Sus scrofa: one gene and its partner. Each later gene encodes a partner of the first gene's protein in a complex. Links are inferred from orthologs where the notes say so. Each region holds a gene or a part of one and is shown on either strand. Other genes may lie near its edges. The genes, in order: ERC1 and PPFIBP1.

Region 1 (3,816 bases):
AAGATGAAAAAAAAAAAAAAACAACCCTCTTATTTTCAGAGTTTTTAAAATTTTTGTATTGCAAATAAAGAATCATGGACTTATAATGTAGATTGCTGTTTAGGGAGTGTCTTCCTTTGTTCTTCTGTTTCAGATTGTTTTCGTTACTGTTTTACCTTACCTCTTCTGTTTGAATTTTCGAGTTAGCCGGTTATGAAGGATGCCGTAGAAATTTTCATTGGCCTGTGAAGTGGTTGGGGAAGAACTGACACCTTTACAGTGTTTGTCTTTTCATCCTTGAACATGGATAACTTTCCTTTTGTTCAGGAAAGTTTTATGGTTTTTTTACAAAAATTATTGAACATTTTTGTTAGATTGATATCAAAGTGTTTTTATGGTTTTGTTGCTATTTAAAAAATGCATTTTCTAATTATTATTACTGATGTACAGGAAAGTATTGATATTTATGTATTGGTCTGTACCTAAGCAGTTGGTTGAGTTCTGTTATTGGTTCTAATAACTCGTCAGTTGATGATGTTGGGTTTTCCAGTTAGAAAATCGTATATTCACACATTGACTATTTTTTTCTTTTCCTTGCTAATCTTTATACCTCTTATTTCTTTTTCTTTTCCATTTGCTTGGTTTGGTTTCAATATTCAGTTTTGAGACATGGTGGATGTTTTTAGAGTGATGTTTACTGAGAAATAAGTTGTGCTCTGAACAAATGCATGAGTAAACATGATTAAAGGGGAGCTATTCCTCAAGTGGGGTCAGTTAAAAGTGTCTGAGAAGGGAAATGTTTCTTATTGGAGGAGTTAATGTGTGATCTTTTCATTGCAGATAATGGCGTAAGCTATTTCTTCAAGATTGGACAGCTGAGGACCTGTTATTTCTGATTAGCCTTAAGCGGACTTACAGCCATAGAGAAACCTCAGAGAGTTCCATATTTTGGTTTTGCTTTACACTTGTCCTGGCACCTGAATTCACTTGCAACCATGTATGGAAGTGCTCGCTCAGTTGGGAAGGTGGAATCAAGCAACCAGAGCCCTGGGCGTTCACCTAGGCTTCCACGTTCCCCTCGCTTGGGTCATCGTCGAACCAATAGTACAGGAGGGAGTTCTGGAAGCAGTGTCGGAGGTGGCAGTGGGAAAACCCTTTCAATGGAGAATATTCAATCCTTGAATGCTGCCTATGCCACTTCTGGCCCTATGTACCTAAGTGACCATGAAAATGTGGGTTCAGAAACACCTAAAAGCACCATGACACTTGGCCGATCTGGAGGACGTCTGCCTTATGGTGTGAGGATGACTGCCATGGGCAGTAGCCCCAATATAGCGAGCAGTGGGGTTGCTAGTGACACTATCGCATTTGGAGAGCATCACCTCCCTCCTGTGAGCATGGCATCTACCGTTCCTCACTCTCTTCGTCAGGCAAGAGATAATACAATCATGGATCTTCAGACACAGCTGAAGGAAGTATTAAGAGAGAATGATCTCTTGCGAAAGGATGTAGAAGTAAAGGAGAGCAAATTAAGTTCTTCAATGAATAGCATCAAGACCTTCTGGAGCCCAGAGCTGAAGAAAGAACGAGCCCTGAGAAAAGATGAAGCTTCCAAAATCACTATTTGGAAGGAACAGTATAGAGTTGTGCAGGAGGAAAACCAGGTTGGTTTTATATGTGTTTGCCTTTACGTGCTCTGAATAAGTGAAACTGAATTCATGTGTGTAAATGAAATGAGCTATTCTTTTTCTTTTCTTTCTGAGGTTTTTCCCTTCTTGGCTCATTTATTTTCCTTTTTCCTGTTATTCTTAGTATTTTATGTTCTCTGTGTCTCAGCCTTTTCCAAATTGGTTCTGTGCCTTAATTGTTTTCTGGTTGCTCACCATACTTGCATTTCTTTTCCCTAGCTTCTCTTTCTCTTCTTTTCCTTCAGCATATATTACCTTTTTGAAATCTTGTGAGAATGTAATTTTCCTACATGCTCTAAGGTCTGTCGTCAAAATTATTCAGGCTGTGGAATTCCCGTCATGGCTCAGCGGCAATGAAGCTGACCAGCATCCATGAGGACACAGGTTCGATCCCTGGCCTTGCTCAGTGGGTTAGGGATCCGGCATGGTATAGGTCGCAGATGCAGCTCAGATCCTTAGTTGCTGTGGCTATGTTGTAGTCAGGCTCCGATTGGACCCCTGGCCTGGGAACCTGCATGTGCCTCGGGTGTGGCCCTAAAAAGACAAAAAAAAAAAAAATTATTCAGGCTATGTAATTTAAGTGTGCGGTGTAGTATTAAGATTTACCTTTGTAAATATTTTAAAAAATCTTAAACTATCACAAGGCAGATTCATATGTTGACAGTATAGAATGGATATTAGTTAAAAGTTAATATTAATGGTGTAAATATGTATTAAGTACCAAAAATGAGTAGCAGTTCTTTCACATTTATGAAGTTTAACTTCAGGATCCTTTTTTTTTTTTTCTTTTTTAAGAATTTTTTATTTCTTCAAATTTAAGGATTTAGGGTGGAAGAAAGGCAACTTGGTGTGATTGATTATATGTAAAATATAAAGTGGATTTTGGTAGGAGTTGAATGTTAAATTGAGGTTATTAAATTCATCATTGGATTAAGTAGCCTCCAAAGTACCTTTGTGATGCTGCTGAAAATATTCCTATCACCAGGATGGTTTTTATTATCAAGCAACTTGGAAATATTCATTTTAATGAGGAAAAAAATACTGGCTTCTTTATTTTCAAGTAATTCAGGCAGCTAATTATGCCTATACTTTAAAAGATCTGTGAATAAAAAGCAATGGCAATAACCTCTCTAATTACCAAGCTACATTCAAAGGCAAAATATTGGAGTCTTCTGTAAAGACTATGGTGGGGACTCAGCAGTTCAATCCAGGGGAAGGGAAACAGTCCGCAGGGCTATGATGCCAAAAAACCATATGCACTGAGGGAGGGTGAACACTGCTTTATCTAGATTCCGCCCCTTGCCCTAATTAAATACTAGTGCTGGCAGGAATAGATGCTTCCTGCACCCACTGTAATTACCACACAATCCTAAAATTGTATCACTTTGGTCCAAAAAACGAAGGGTGCAATTTTAAAGCAAAGTGAAACACTGCAATGAGATATAGAGAACTGAGAATGCTAATTAATAGATTATAGTGAGCCAGCAGTGGGCCCTAATTAAACTCTGCATTCATTACACCCTCCACAGCCCTCAGAGGTCAGACATTTTCCACTTTACAGAGAAGATTGGTTTAATAGGATTTACAGTAATTAAACAAATTTCCCCATTTCAGTTTGAGATCGGGGATTTAGATACATTCTAAATGTTTGATTTGATTGGACCATAGAGATCTTGTCTAGAATCCTATCAAATGAAAAATACACCTGTGCTTAGAATGTCTAATGTGCCTGATTCATTATTATGAAGTCCTTTTAGAAGATTCTTTCTAAAATAAATATCCATCTATTTTTATGTTTCATACTACTTTTGTTACTGAACTTTCAAATACTGGTGGTTGGAGAAATGGAACAATATATGTTTTAGCAGGTAAGGTCTTTTTTTTTTTTTTTTTTTTTTGAAACTGACAATGGGGAGGGCTATTTTTTAAATTTTTTTCTTTTTCCAGGTCTGTACACATGGCATATGGAAGTTCCCAGGCTAGGGGTTGAATCTGAGCTACAGCTGCCAGCCTACACCACAGCCACAGTCACAGCAAGTCAAGATCCAAGTGCATCTGTGATAGCTCACGAAATGGAATGCCAGATCCTTAACCCACTGAGCGGACCAGAGAAAGAGTCCTCATGGATACTAGTAGAGTTTGTTACCTG
Region 2 (3,916 bases), about 22 Mb from region 1:
TTCTGGAGCAATTTACTTACCTAAGCTTGCTGAGCCTTGGATTCCTTTAGGTTAAAATGAGGCTAATGACACTCACTTTACAGGATGGATGTGAAGATTGAAGTGAGACACAATGGTGGACTCTCTGCCTCCCTTCTACAATTTTTGGCAGGATGGTGAAATGTATGACGTGTCATCCATCAAAAAAACAAACAATAAAATCCAACAGGAAACCAATAATTCATTCATTGTAATTCCAGAAGATGATGGATAATATATCTATATATCATGTAAAGAGGGCCACTTTTCACCATTTAGTCCTGCCTTGCAAGCAGTTATTAGGCAAACTGAAAGACCCATTTCCTGGGAATCTTTCTGTTTTGTTGGCCGGGAGTATTATACTGCCTGATAGCTGTCAGCGTAAACGTTAGTTAATTCTTAATTGATTCCTCAGCCACTGCAATTGGTTCCATTCAACAGTAATTATTCTCCTGTGGCTTGCTGAACTCAATTGTGAGGTTCCCCCACCCCCATCCCCCTTCAATTGTGCATGGAAACAGCAGCCTTAAGATCTTTAAAAAGGTAAATAGTAATTGTTCTTCAGAGGTTCAATTTTATTTGCCTGGAAGCTCGTGTGCTGGGTTTCCATCGCTAAAAGCAAAAGCCGCCGCATGGTGGATAACACCCCCGGTTAACAACCCAGAGCTGGGTCGCGGTTTCTAGGATTCTCCTTCACATCTTCCCGAAGTGCTTTTGAAGTTCTAAATTTCCCGTCTAAGGGAACGCCCAGCCGTCCCAAGATAAAAGGGTTAGCAGAGGGAGCTGGCGTTTTCCTTTATTTGCCTGACTTCAAGCTAGCCATTTTCTGCTCCACGCGCCGCCGGACTCGGACTTGCCCGTGACACAGAGGCGACTGTTTTTCCTTCAAAAGGGGGCTTGGGTGGGTTAGTTTCGTTTCCGACCTGGGAGAGGGTAAATGCGCCAAGAAAAGTTTAAAACGCCACCCGCAAGGATCTTCCTCGTACCATTATTCTCCCTCCCTTAGAGATAGCAGGAAAGGCAGCATTTTTTTTCCATCAACACCCACTTCCAGCCCTTGCCGGGCTCAGCGAGGAATGTGTAAAATTAGTGGGCTCCTCTGACTGACAGCCCGCGGGCCCAATCAGCGCGAGCGGGGGCGCGCCAACGCCCCCCCGGCGTCCTCTCTTTGGCTAATTTCTGCGGGGAGGGAGGCGGGCGGGCGGGCGCGAGGGAGGGGAGGTACCTGGAACTGGGAGTGATGTCAGCTCCCAGCTCGGTGCCTGCCCGGATTCCTGACATGGTGTAGGGCCGAGAGGGTGGGGAAGGCGGGAGCCGGCCGGGAGAGGACTCGGAGTGGCCAGACTGCCGTGGGGGCAGAGGGCCGGCGCTTTGAACTCCGAGCGAAGGTGAACCAGAACTTTTGCAACTCGTGCGGGCGGCTCTCCTCCCCCAGGTAAGGGCGTTTGTCCTCTCTTGGGGACCGGCAAGCAGTGGCACCGTTGTGTGGTTGTAGCTGCTCCTCCTTTTCCCCACTCGATTTCCTTTTCCAGCTCACTCCTCTCTCCCAGCTCACTCCTCTCTCCCAGTGGGAACCCACACTTTTTGCGGGGTGCGGTAGGGCTTAACAACTGGGGCTCTCAACTAGTTTGTATGGGAAAAATACCTCCGGAATTCGACATGTAAAATCTTGACTGTGTCCTTAAACCCCCCACACCCTAGTCTTCTAATAATACTTGAGAACCCCGATCAGAGGAGTGGTGTGTGTGTGTGTGTGTGTGTGTGTGTGTGTGTGTGTGTGTGTGTGTGTGTGTAGGGGTGTTCTTTTAAAATGTCACTAAAAGTTTATGAAATATGGACTCAAACATTATGCTCTTTGAGAGAGGAGAAAAGTTTTGTATTTTTTTGGTTCTCCTGTGGCCTATTATGCGTTGCTTTAAATGAAAGACTGTCATTGTTATGTTTATATATTCTTACATAATAACATAAAAAATCCTTTTCCATAGTCAAGATTTGAGGAATTCATTTGGGGTGTGGGAAATTCATTGAGCCTGTGGGAAAACCGGTCTCTTGGGGGCACACTTCAACGCCAACTCGTTTTCATTCTTACATTTTAGCGGAGAATCCCATGGCTTGCCAACTTTGTGATCTGGAGGGGTTAGGAAGGCTGCCGAGAACCTTTGGATCTGTCTTCTGTGGATTGCTTGAGAGAAAGATGAGGGCTGGTAGTTGTTTTCATGGATCCTTTTTAGAGAAGGGAGTTTTTACAGGGAAATGTGGCAGAAGGCGTGGCATACAAACTCTTAATTATAGGAACATGAATTTTCCAACATGTGGGACCAAAACAAATCCTTCCTTTCAATAAGAAGTGCAGAGAGCAATAGATGAAGAACCTGATTGAGTGTCTAAGTTTGGTATTTAGGGAAAGCAATGGCCTGTCGAGAGCTAAAGGGTATTTTGACAAGTGGAAGTGTAGAATTCTGATTTTTGCTTATTTGTGGTTTCAAACCCTTTCTATTTCTTGCTTGGAGATTTTGTGTGCCCAGGTCCTACAGTTGTTTTCTGGTGAAAAAAATTAACTCCATAAACTGATTCAGGATCCTCACTCATCATCGCTGAAGGCTCTTTCTTTTGGAGAAGGAAAGAGAGTGTCTGCGCTGAGACTCCTGAGTCAGGTTTCCCTTTGCTTTTACCAGAGTTCCTCAGCAGTGAGGAGCCTTCTGTTGCCAGGTTGGGAGGAAACTGTGGACTTCACTGTGAATCAAAAGCTGCACCTCAGGTGCCTGAACCAAAGGGCATTTCCCCGACAGGAGGAAAGAAAGAAGCCACCAAATTGCACCTGATAACCCAAGTTGGCAAGTGTGGAGATGCAAGACTTCATACATGAGGTTCTCTGTCTTTCTAACCAGGTGACAGTTAAGTTTCAGGGCAAGAAAGAAGTGTGTTTTTTTTTTTTGTTTTGTTTTGTTTTTGCTGTTGTTTATAAAACACCTGGATCTGTATTGTTGTTCTCGAAAATTTAATTAGCACAAGGTGGATAGAGATCAGGCTTTTTGCAAAGGGAAGGTGTGCTTGACTGGAAAGGCCAGAACATTTTCATTTCGATGTGTGTTTTGGACTAAGAAACAGAAATTGTCTCATGTCTCTGAAATAACGGTGACCAAATCGTTTCTATTTATATTCTGTAGGAAGGACATAAATCATGCTGTGTTTTCCAATGTACTTTTTCAGCAGGAAAGAGCAAGAGGTGAGGTAGAATTTTTGTGGGCTGGTGAGAGTTCACTGGAGCCTAAAACCAGTCAGGTAGTATCTCAAGGATGTTATCCTGATGAGCCAAGTTCAAATTTATTTATACTCCTTTTCAAGAAACGAGTCCTGGCTTAGGGACTTGAATATATCAAAGTTTTACATTTCATTCACACTTTTGAATAGTAACAGTAATTTTATATACTTGGTTTAACCAGTATTTTTCTTGCTCCCTCTGTGTGTAGAAGGAAGATGTGATATATAGTAAAACACAGTTCTTTCAAAGGAGAAAGTTTGAGGGAGTTCGCTGGTGGTCTGGTGGTTAGCACTTGATGTTTTCACTGCTGTGGCGTGGGATCAATCCCTGGTCTGGGAACTGAGATGCCATATCAAGCCACTGCGTGCCATAGCCAAAAGAAGGGACAAAACTAGAACAATGTTTGAGTTATTGAGAAAGGTAGGATCAGGTTTTGGTTAAATTCTTTGACCAGCAGCTATCATAGTTGCGATAGTTATTTAAAATAGGAGAATCTGGCCTTTATGGACAGATGTTGACTTGACATTCAGTGCACAGTGTAGTTACAGATTAATAGTGCCTAATTTCAAGGGCATTGTAGGCATTTTTTGGAAACAAGTTCAGTAAAGGAGAGTTCATTAACTGTTTATATAGTCT

What was found.
Region 2: ERC1 (region 1) and PPFIBP1 share a complex: the UniProt entries of both Homo sapiens proteins name them as parts of the cortical microtubule stabilization complex. The link is inferred for Sus scrofa from reciprocal best matches to the Homo sapiens genes ERC1 and PPFIBP1.

Annotation. Positions count from the first base shown.
Region 1 is NC_010447.5:68,251,059-68,254,874, forward strand, and holds part of ERC1 (ELKS/Rab6-interacting/CAST family member 1), read left to right. Parts: intron 1-819; 5' UTR 820-974; coding exon 975-1,643; intron 1,644-3,816. UniProt on the Homo sapiens protein: Regulatory subunit of the IKK complex. Probably recruits IkappaBalpha/NFKBIA to the complex. May be involved in the organization of the cytomatrix at the nerve terminals active zone (CAZ) which regulates neurotransmitter release.
Region 2 is NC_010447.5:46,220,210-46,224,125, reverse strand, and holds the start of PPFIBP1 (liprin-beta-1), read left to right. Parts: upstream 1-1,246; 5' UTR 1,247-1,453; intron 1,454-3,916. UniProt on the Homo sapiens protein: May regulate the disassembly of focal adhesions. Did not bind receptor-like tyrosine phosphatases type 2A.